2 linked regions of the Sus scrofa genome follow. The protein of the gene in region 1 interacts with the protein of each later gene in a pairwise test. Links are inferred from orthologs where the notes say so. Each region holds a gene or a part of one and is shown on either strand. Other genes may lie near its edges.

What was found.
Region 2: the proteins of RHOA (region 1) and RIPOR2 interact in binary tests that used the Homo sapiens proteins (3 or more experiments, as listed by UniProt). The link is inferred for Sus scrofa from reciprocal best matches to the Homo sapiens genes RHOA and RIPOR2.

Annotation. Positions count from the first base shown.
Region 1 is NC_010455.5:31,988,408-31,992,406, forward strand, and holds the start of RHOA (transforming protein RhoA), read right to left. Parts: upstream 2,801-3,999; 5' UTR 2,606-2,800; intron 1-2,605. Other genes in the region: TCTA (T-cell leukemia translocation-altered gene protein), read left to right, coding at 3,206-3,428, 3,752-3,830. UniProt on the Homo sapiens protein: Small GTPase which cycles between an active GTP-bound and an inactive GDP-bound state.
Region 2 is NC_010449.5:19,646,608-19,650,628, reverse strand, and holds part of RIPOR2 (protein FAM65B), read left to right. Parts: intron 1-748; coding exon 749-874; intron 875-1,167; coding exon 1,168-1,316; intron 1,317-3,260; coding exon 3,261-3,390; intron 3,391-4,021. UniProt on the Homo sapiens protein: Acts as an inhibitor of the small GTPase RHOA and plays several roles in the regulation of myoblast and hair cell differentiation, lymphocyte T proliferation and neutrophil polarization.

The sequences.
Region 1 (3,999 bases):
AGTCACTAGATATAGAAACACTTGAAATAGGAATTTTAGAGTAATTACTAACTTTAGAAGTGTCTTGAAATTTTTAATTTATTAATCTCACAAGTACTTAACAGTTAGCAAATGCCCAAAGAGCAGAGTATAGTAAGATACATTAACACAAGTTTAAAACTTCATTGCATTAATGTGAAGGTACAGGCAAACAGTTCTACAGGCCAGGTGCATAAAGGGATAAACTAAGTGGTAAAGGAAGATGAAATATCTTTAGGGACCTTTTACAATTACAAATGTATGTGATTAAAATTCAGTGATTATGCACCACTTATCATTATCACTAGCAACCATAATGCAATTAAACACAAGGTGCTATCTATAGAAGCCCAGCAGGTCCAAATTGGTACTCATAAAAGTTGAAAAATCGATCTGTCTTCTGAGAGTTAACAAAAATCTCTCAGCTCAGGACAAGTAAGAAGACCCAAAGTAGCAACCCACCTCCTCCAGTCACTGCTTGGACTCCACCTTAATGGACACGAAGCACCTGAAGATCTACCTGTTTTTACTCTCCAAATAACTTAAACCCCACATGACCAGGATAAACTATTAAAAAGAGTTTTCTGACAGACAAAAAAAGAATTGGGACCGAAAACACTCCAGCAAAACCATCACCACAAACAATGGAAACTATATTCTTGATATATGCTATTTCCCTTCATCCTGCTTCAAATCAACAGTAAAAAGAGTCCACAGTCGCCTGATAACATCTTATCAGGGCCTAATTCTTTTAGTTTTACAGCAAGGGAGTCTGGGCTTACCTCCGAAGAAGATGGTCCCGTAAGAAGACCAAAACACCTAAAGCCATGACCTAGGCCAGGCAGAGACTCTGCATATTCATTTACCTATTTCAATCAACTGCTGTAGAACCATCCAGTTACAGAAAACAGAGCAAAAGCTAAAAAACATTTGTTTGTGAAATATTCCTGATTCTCTCAATGTATATAAAATCAGCAATATATAATAGGAGAAACACTATAATAAGTTGAAAGCACTGAATTTTAGCTGACTCTAAGCAAGCTGTTTAGGAGTACATAAAGAAGATCTTAGAGTGAAAATAGTTCTGGCTGGCACCTGACTATAGACATATGACCTTGAGAAATTTACTGAAGACTGTCGGACTCAGTTTCTCATCTGCAAATGGAGTTGGACTACAAGTCCTGAAGATTTCTTTCACGTCTAAAATTCTTGATCAATGAAAACGTCTTCCCTTTAATACAGATTTTTATGAGAACGGAAGCTATGAGTCTAGGATTAATCTTTACTAAAATCAAGTTCCATCTGATATTTTATGTTCCCAAGGGCCACCAGTGCTCTACAAAAATTAGATGGAACTACTCAAGACAATTTATCAAAAGAGATCCTTCACTAAGTTACCCTTTATAATTAAAAGCTAATCTTTTATCTTCACCCCAAACAATGTCACTTGTGCCAAATGCTCAAAACAACATCTCTCCCAATTTAGTCATGTCTAAAGTGACAATCATGCAATGGTACAAATGCATTACACATCTGGATGTGTGACACAAGGTGGCTGACAAATTCTCACCACATACAACATTTAAAAGAATTTTTTAAAGTATTTTTCCCCTTCAGGTCTGGCAGGAATATAATCTGATTACACACCTGCAAGGGACATTTACTTCAAAAGACTGTCTTAAATACAAAGAGAACCAAACAAGTTACCAACAGAGGTAAAAACTTTTTATCAGGACCATTATGAAACACAAGGGAAACCAACTTTAAGTAAAAAGGATGCCAATTTTCCATCATTAACTACTAATCATGGTTTTGAACAAATCGAGTGCAAATAGTGCTATTTAATGAACATGTAACTGGATCCAACTGGACAGATGTTTAGGTGATTCCTAATCAAGGTAATAACTCAGACTAAGAAAAATTGCAAATTAATACTATATTTTTATGCTACATAGTTTAATCAGGAAAAATATCCCCTTCAATTGGAAAATTCCCTTCTTCCAATATCGAAGAATCCTAACCCCTAGGATTTCAACACTGTTTTACTTAACACAATCTCAAAGAATACTGCATTAAAAAGGAAAATACCCAAAACGTAACTGGACTTCACCAAGTATAAAACGGTGATTCATGTTTCATACTAAATGTAAAAGCCAAAATGGAGTTGTAAAGAGTTTCTTTCCCATTTCAACTCCGATAGCCAAGCACGCTTCCCAGCGGCCGGCTGCCCCCCGGGTCGTGGGGCCAGTCTCACAACCCCCGCCCTGCCCCGCGCAGCCCTAAGAGAGGAAGCGCCCGGGACCGCGGGGCGGGCAGGCGGCTAGGGCTCCACCAGGCCTGGCCGGGCGGGGGAAGGGGCGCGGGAGGCCGCGGGGCGCGCTTCCGGGGACCGCGCGGGCGGGGCCGCCGCTTTGGGAAGAGGAGCCCGGCTACTGGGCCCCGAGTTAGGGTCAGGGGACAGGGTCCTGGGGCTCCCGGCCGAGAGCAGCAGGTGGGGCGCGGCCGCGGCGGGGCGGCGGCTGGCGGGCGGCCGGAAGAGTGCCGGGCGGGCGGGCCCGGGACGCCAGGAGGGAACCCTCTCGCTCACCTAAGGCGACGACTCCAAGGCCGGCTTCTCCGCGCCGAGAACGCCTGTCCGCGAGTCGCGAGCTCGAAGACTACGGCGGGTGGCTGTGGAGGTGGCGGTGGACTAACGAGAGAACCGACGGAGAGCGACGGGCGGGGAGCGCGAGAGAGCAAGAGCGGGCGGCGACGGCGGCGGGAGGGCGGGGAGCGACGTGCGCGCCCCCGAGTGCCCAGCGGGCTCGAGCCGGCCCCGGTCGCGGCCCCGCGCACGCGCGCGCACTCAGGGCTCAGCCACGATTGCTCAGGAGCGCGTCCACACCCTAAAAGCAAGACGCTTAACCAATCATTGCAGCCGCGTGGTGCATCACGGGAACTCTGGGGCTATAAAAGAGCTGGTTGCTATTTTATACTCCTCGAGTCACTCATCCTTTAAGCAGGGTGGGGCTTGGTGCGCGTGCGCGGTTTTACTGCTCCGCCCCAACTGCCAACTCTGCGCGCAGGCGAGGTAGGCGCTCCATGCCTCGGTTTACGCGTGCGCATTATTGAGTCTGGCTCCGGAAGACCGGACGCTTGCGCAGTGGGGACTACGGTGACAGTCCCCTGGGTCCGCCACCGGCCAGTCATGGCGGAGCCTTGGTCGGGGCAGTCCTTGCAGGTTCTGCCGGCCACGGTGCTGGGCGCGCTGGGCGCCCTCGGCAGCGAGTTCCTGCGGGAGTGGGAGGCTCAGGACATGCGCGTGACCCTCTTCAAGTTGCTGCTGCTTTGGTTGGTGTTAAGTCTCCTGAGCATCCAGCTGGCGTGGGGGTTCTACGGGAGTACGGTGACCGGGCTGTATCACCGCCCAGGTGAGGCTCCCCACCAACTTCCGTGGACCGGCCACCCTCTTCCCGCACTGACTGTACCTTCGGGTTCCCCGAACCCTCCCCCCCAGATTACCACTGGTGCCCTGAGAACCTAATGACAACGCTGTATCCTGACCCATGTCAACATAGCATTTCATGCCAGTAACCCCACCAGTCCACCCATGATATATAATTTCCCTTGCACTCTCATCAGACAATACCACAAGTTCTTTAGGGCCTCCACCACACTCTCCAACAAATACCACTGGCCTCTAACCTGACCTGGGCTGATGCCTGCTCAGATACCCACCCCCAGCCTGTTGCAGCTCTGGATGTGTTCCTGCCCCCAGGTCTGGGCAGCCAGAACGGATCCACACCTGATGGCTCCACGCATTTCTCGTCCTGGTGAGTAAATCTCTTCCCACTTTAACCCCATGCTTGGCACATAGAGGCCACTCCTGAGCTGAGGATAGGGGAGGGGAGTTCTCAGGGTAGGAGTCCACCAGCTTAGTGGCCTTTGCAGTAAACTCCAAGGTCTCTAACTAGAGCTCAAGCTGTAAGTGACACTGATGTC
Region 2 (4,021 bases), on another chromosome or scaffold:
ATTAAAGAATAATGGAATCTGGATCTTCCTTTAGAAAAATATACTCCATGAAGTAAAATATATATATATATATATATATATACACACATATATATATATTTTTTTTCTCTCTTCAGAAGGAAACTTACATAATTATTTCATGTATCTCCTCCCAAACCCTCTACAATCACTCTTCTCGGCCGGGCGGGGGTGGGGGCAGGATGGTGGGAACGTATCTTCCTCTAAACAGCAAAGCTGTCTGACCAAGGAGACTGTACACCCTCTGCCCAGAGGATGGCAGATTTCGAAATCCTTGTCCAGTTCTATCTCCCTCATCCAGAGGGAGGATGTCTTATTTCTTGCTTCTGGCCACTCAGTAGATTTTAGCAGATGGTTCCCCATCTCTCTAAAGGAGCAGGGGAGTGTAGAGAATGAATCCAGTTGTTGTTCTGTTGAAGCAGAACTAAGCAGAGAAAGAGCTGGTTGACATGAGGGAGCCAAAGGGCGCGATGCAATGACCTTTTTCTAAAGAAAGCAGTTCATACCTTCTGTCCTAGAGAAGCAGGACTTACGCCCTTTTGAAAGTCCCCACTCATCCTCTGCTCCACCCCAGGGAATTTGGACCCAGCAATAAGTGGGTGGAGTGAGGCTGCTGGGGACCAGGAGAAGCTGCAGCCGCTTCCTGACTTGCCCTTTTGATGCTGGTGTTTGGTAGGGAAAGGGGGTGAGGGCAGTGGAACCTGAGGGCCCTTTGGCGTCTTCTCCCCAGATTTTCATGAAGTACGGCCGACAGAGGTGGAAACTGAAAGGCAGAATCGAAGTCAATGGCAAACAGAGCTGGGATGGAGAGGAAATGGTGTTCCTGCCCTTGATTGTTGGATTGATTTCCATCAAGGTACAGTATCATCACGTTTTCTCTCCTGGTGCCACGGCGGGATGGTCCATCGTGGAAGGCCTGTGTCCATGACCTCCGCCTGCTGCCCCTCCACCCCACAGACCTTGTGTACATCACAGAGCCCTGCCCTGGCGTCAGAGCGGGCAGGGTAAATGTGAGATGGCCTTCGGAAACATCCACCTCTGATTTCAGATATGATTCCGAAATGCCTGACCTGGCCACGCAAAACAGGAAGAGCATACCCCTTCCTTTGTCCTCTGCCATCCTGCAAGCCTTCTTCCCTCTCTTCCCAGGTCACAGAACTCAAAGGGCTGGCAACTCACCTCCTGGTCGGCAGCGTGACCTGCGAGACCAAAGAGCTGTTTGCAGCCCGACCTCAGGTGGTGGCCGTGGACATCAATGACCTTGGCACCATCAAACTCAACCTGGAAATCACCTGGTAGTAAGTTGCCCTTTTTGATTTCATCACATTAAAATATGTGCAGCAGGCTCGAGGTGTTCCAACGGTGGCATGTGGCCATGTACACACTACTGTATGTAAAATAAAAGAGTAGCAAGGACTCACTGTATAGCACAGGGAAATCTACTCAATATTCTATAATCACCTCTGTGGGAAAAGAATCTGAAAAAGAATGGATATGTGTCTACGCATAACTGATTGTGCTGTACACATGAAACTAACAACACTGCAGGTCAACTACACTCCAATAAAACTTTAAAAAAAAAAAAAAGGGATTCCAGGGAGCTTGATATGGAAGCGAACTCTCAGGCGCCACCCAAACTTCCTGTGCCAGAATCTGTCCGGGCCCAAGAATCTCTTTGACAAGCTCACCACGTGATGTTCACATGTGCCAAAGTTGGAGAGCCCTCGCTCTTATCACTACTCTCCTCTTTGATTTACTTTTTTTTTTTTTTTTTTTTTTTTTTTTGGTCTTTTTGCTATTTCTTGGGCCGCTCCCTCGGCATGTGGAGGTTCCCAGGCTAGGGGTTGAATCGGAGCTGTAGCCACCAGCCTATGCCACAGCCACAGCACCGCGCGATTCGAGCCGAATCTGCAACCTACACCACAGCTCACAGCAACGCCAGATCGTTAACCCACTGAGCAAGGGCAGGGGCCGAACCCTCAACCTCATGGTTCCTAGTCGGATTCATTAACCACTGCGCCACGACGGGAACTCCTGATTTACTTTTTCTTTTTAGCTGCACGCAGAATTTCCCTTTCCAGCCCAGGGATGGAACCCGCGCTAGAGCAGTAACAACACCAAGACCTTAACCGCTAGGCCACCAGGGAATTCCTGTTCTATTCTGCCTCCTCCCCTCCTTCTCAAGCTTTAAATGTATATAAAGAAATATATCTCTCAAGTCAAGTAACTTGAAAGAAAATAATTGCCCAATATGAGTTATTTTGCCCACAGAAAGATCCCAATTCTCGCTATGGTTGTTTTCATTGCTTAGCCCTTGTTATTTCATACATCTTATATTGATTGCCCTGGAAAATTTTGGCTAACTTTAGCCTCTCCACACTCTATCTGCTAAAAGAGAATGTTGCCAAAGGGCAAGGGATACCTTTTGCCAAAGCAAGGAACTTAAAAGTAGCTTTCTGAAGTTGCCCAGTGAGAAAGGCCATGATAAGTTATTAAACACTGGTTGCTCGCAACATTTGATCTTAAGCCCCTGGTATATTACCAAGCAACTCAGACATGCAGAGTATTTGTGTTCAGGGTCCCCTTTACACCTGAGAGGGTCACCCTTGGAAGCAGCAGAGACCTGGTGCCTTGTCATTGAAACAGTGTCCGCACCTTTTGCCCAGCCCCTCTCTCCTAAGAACTTGTAATCATTGGCATTTCAAATGCAAGGCCAGGCCTCTTGCTGGATGAACCCTTGGCGTGATGATAAATGGTGTCCTTGTCAACAGGCTGTTTTCCTCTCAATCACGCAAGAGGCTCTGGGTCAACAGAAATGAGCAAGAGTGTTTTCTTTAGGACCAAACAATAATCTGTTACTCTCCATATCATTAAAGTAACTGTCCTTGCAGAGCCCCCGGAATTTTTACAGACTTCAACATCTTGTGTTGGAACAAGCTTTCATATGTTTATGTCTCTTGTATGAATGAGGAAGCCGATTTATCCAGTATCCAGGGTCCATATAAATTGTGCCTAAAGCTGTGACCATAATCTCTGGTCCCTCGGGCCAGTCTAGACTCCGTTTTCTGCGCCACTTGTTGTTATCTTGGTTTGTTTGCTGACAGACCAGTCTGGCCCAAACCAGCCCGGTTCCCACTGGTTTGACTTTCCGTTAGCATGATGAGGTGCTTTCTTGGCCTGCGGTCCAGTGATTATAGGTGATTTTAACAGACGTGCATTCACGGGGACTTGTTGTTTTGCAGTCCTTTCGACGTGGAGGACATGACCCCATCTTCGGGGGCTGGGAACAAGGCGGCCGCCCTGCAGAGAAGAATGTCCATGTACAGCCAGGGCACCCCGGAAACGCCCACCTTCAAAGACCACGCCTTCTTTGTAAGTTCAGTGTGATTTCTGGAGGAGATGATGAGCCCGAGTGCCTGCATCCAGCATTTGAAACGCTTAGCATACGGTGTTAGGGAGTCTCACTAATTCCTAATGCAGTCGTCCCTGGGTATCTGTAGGGGAGTGGTTCCCTTTGATACCAAGACCCAGTGATGCTCAGGTCCCTTATGTAAAATGGCACAGTGTTGGCACATAACCTATGCACATCCTTCTGGATACTTTAGATCACCTCTAGATGACTTATAATACCTAATACAACATAAAGGATATGTAAATAGTTGCCAGAAAATTGGCAAAGTCAAGTTTGGTTTTTGGAACTTTCTGGAATTTTTTTTCCCGCGGATGCAGAACCCTCGGATACGGAGGGCCGACTGTAATTTTACATTCACGTTCACTCCACCTAACGGTGACTAAGAAAGCGCACTCCAAGATGCTTTTGACCACCCATGCCCAGGTGGTAAACCTCTTCTGTCTTTCCCCTCCCCTCGCCCCCCTCACCTGTTACTTTGATCAACACCTGTAGACTTTTCTGCACATTCTCTAAGGACCAGCCTTTCAAAGAAGTGGATATAGATAACGGCCTCCTTGTTTTAATCCGAAACGCTTGATAAAAAGCTAATGA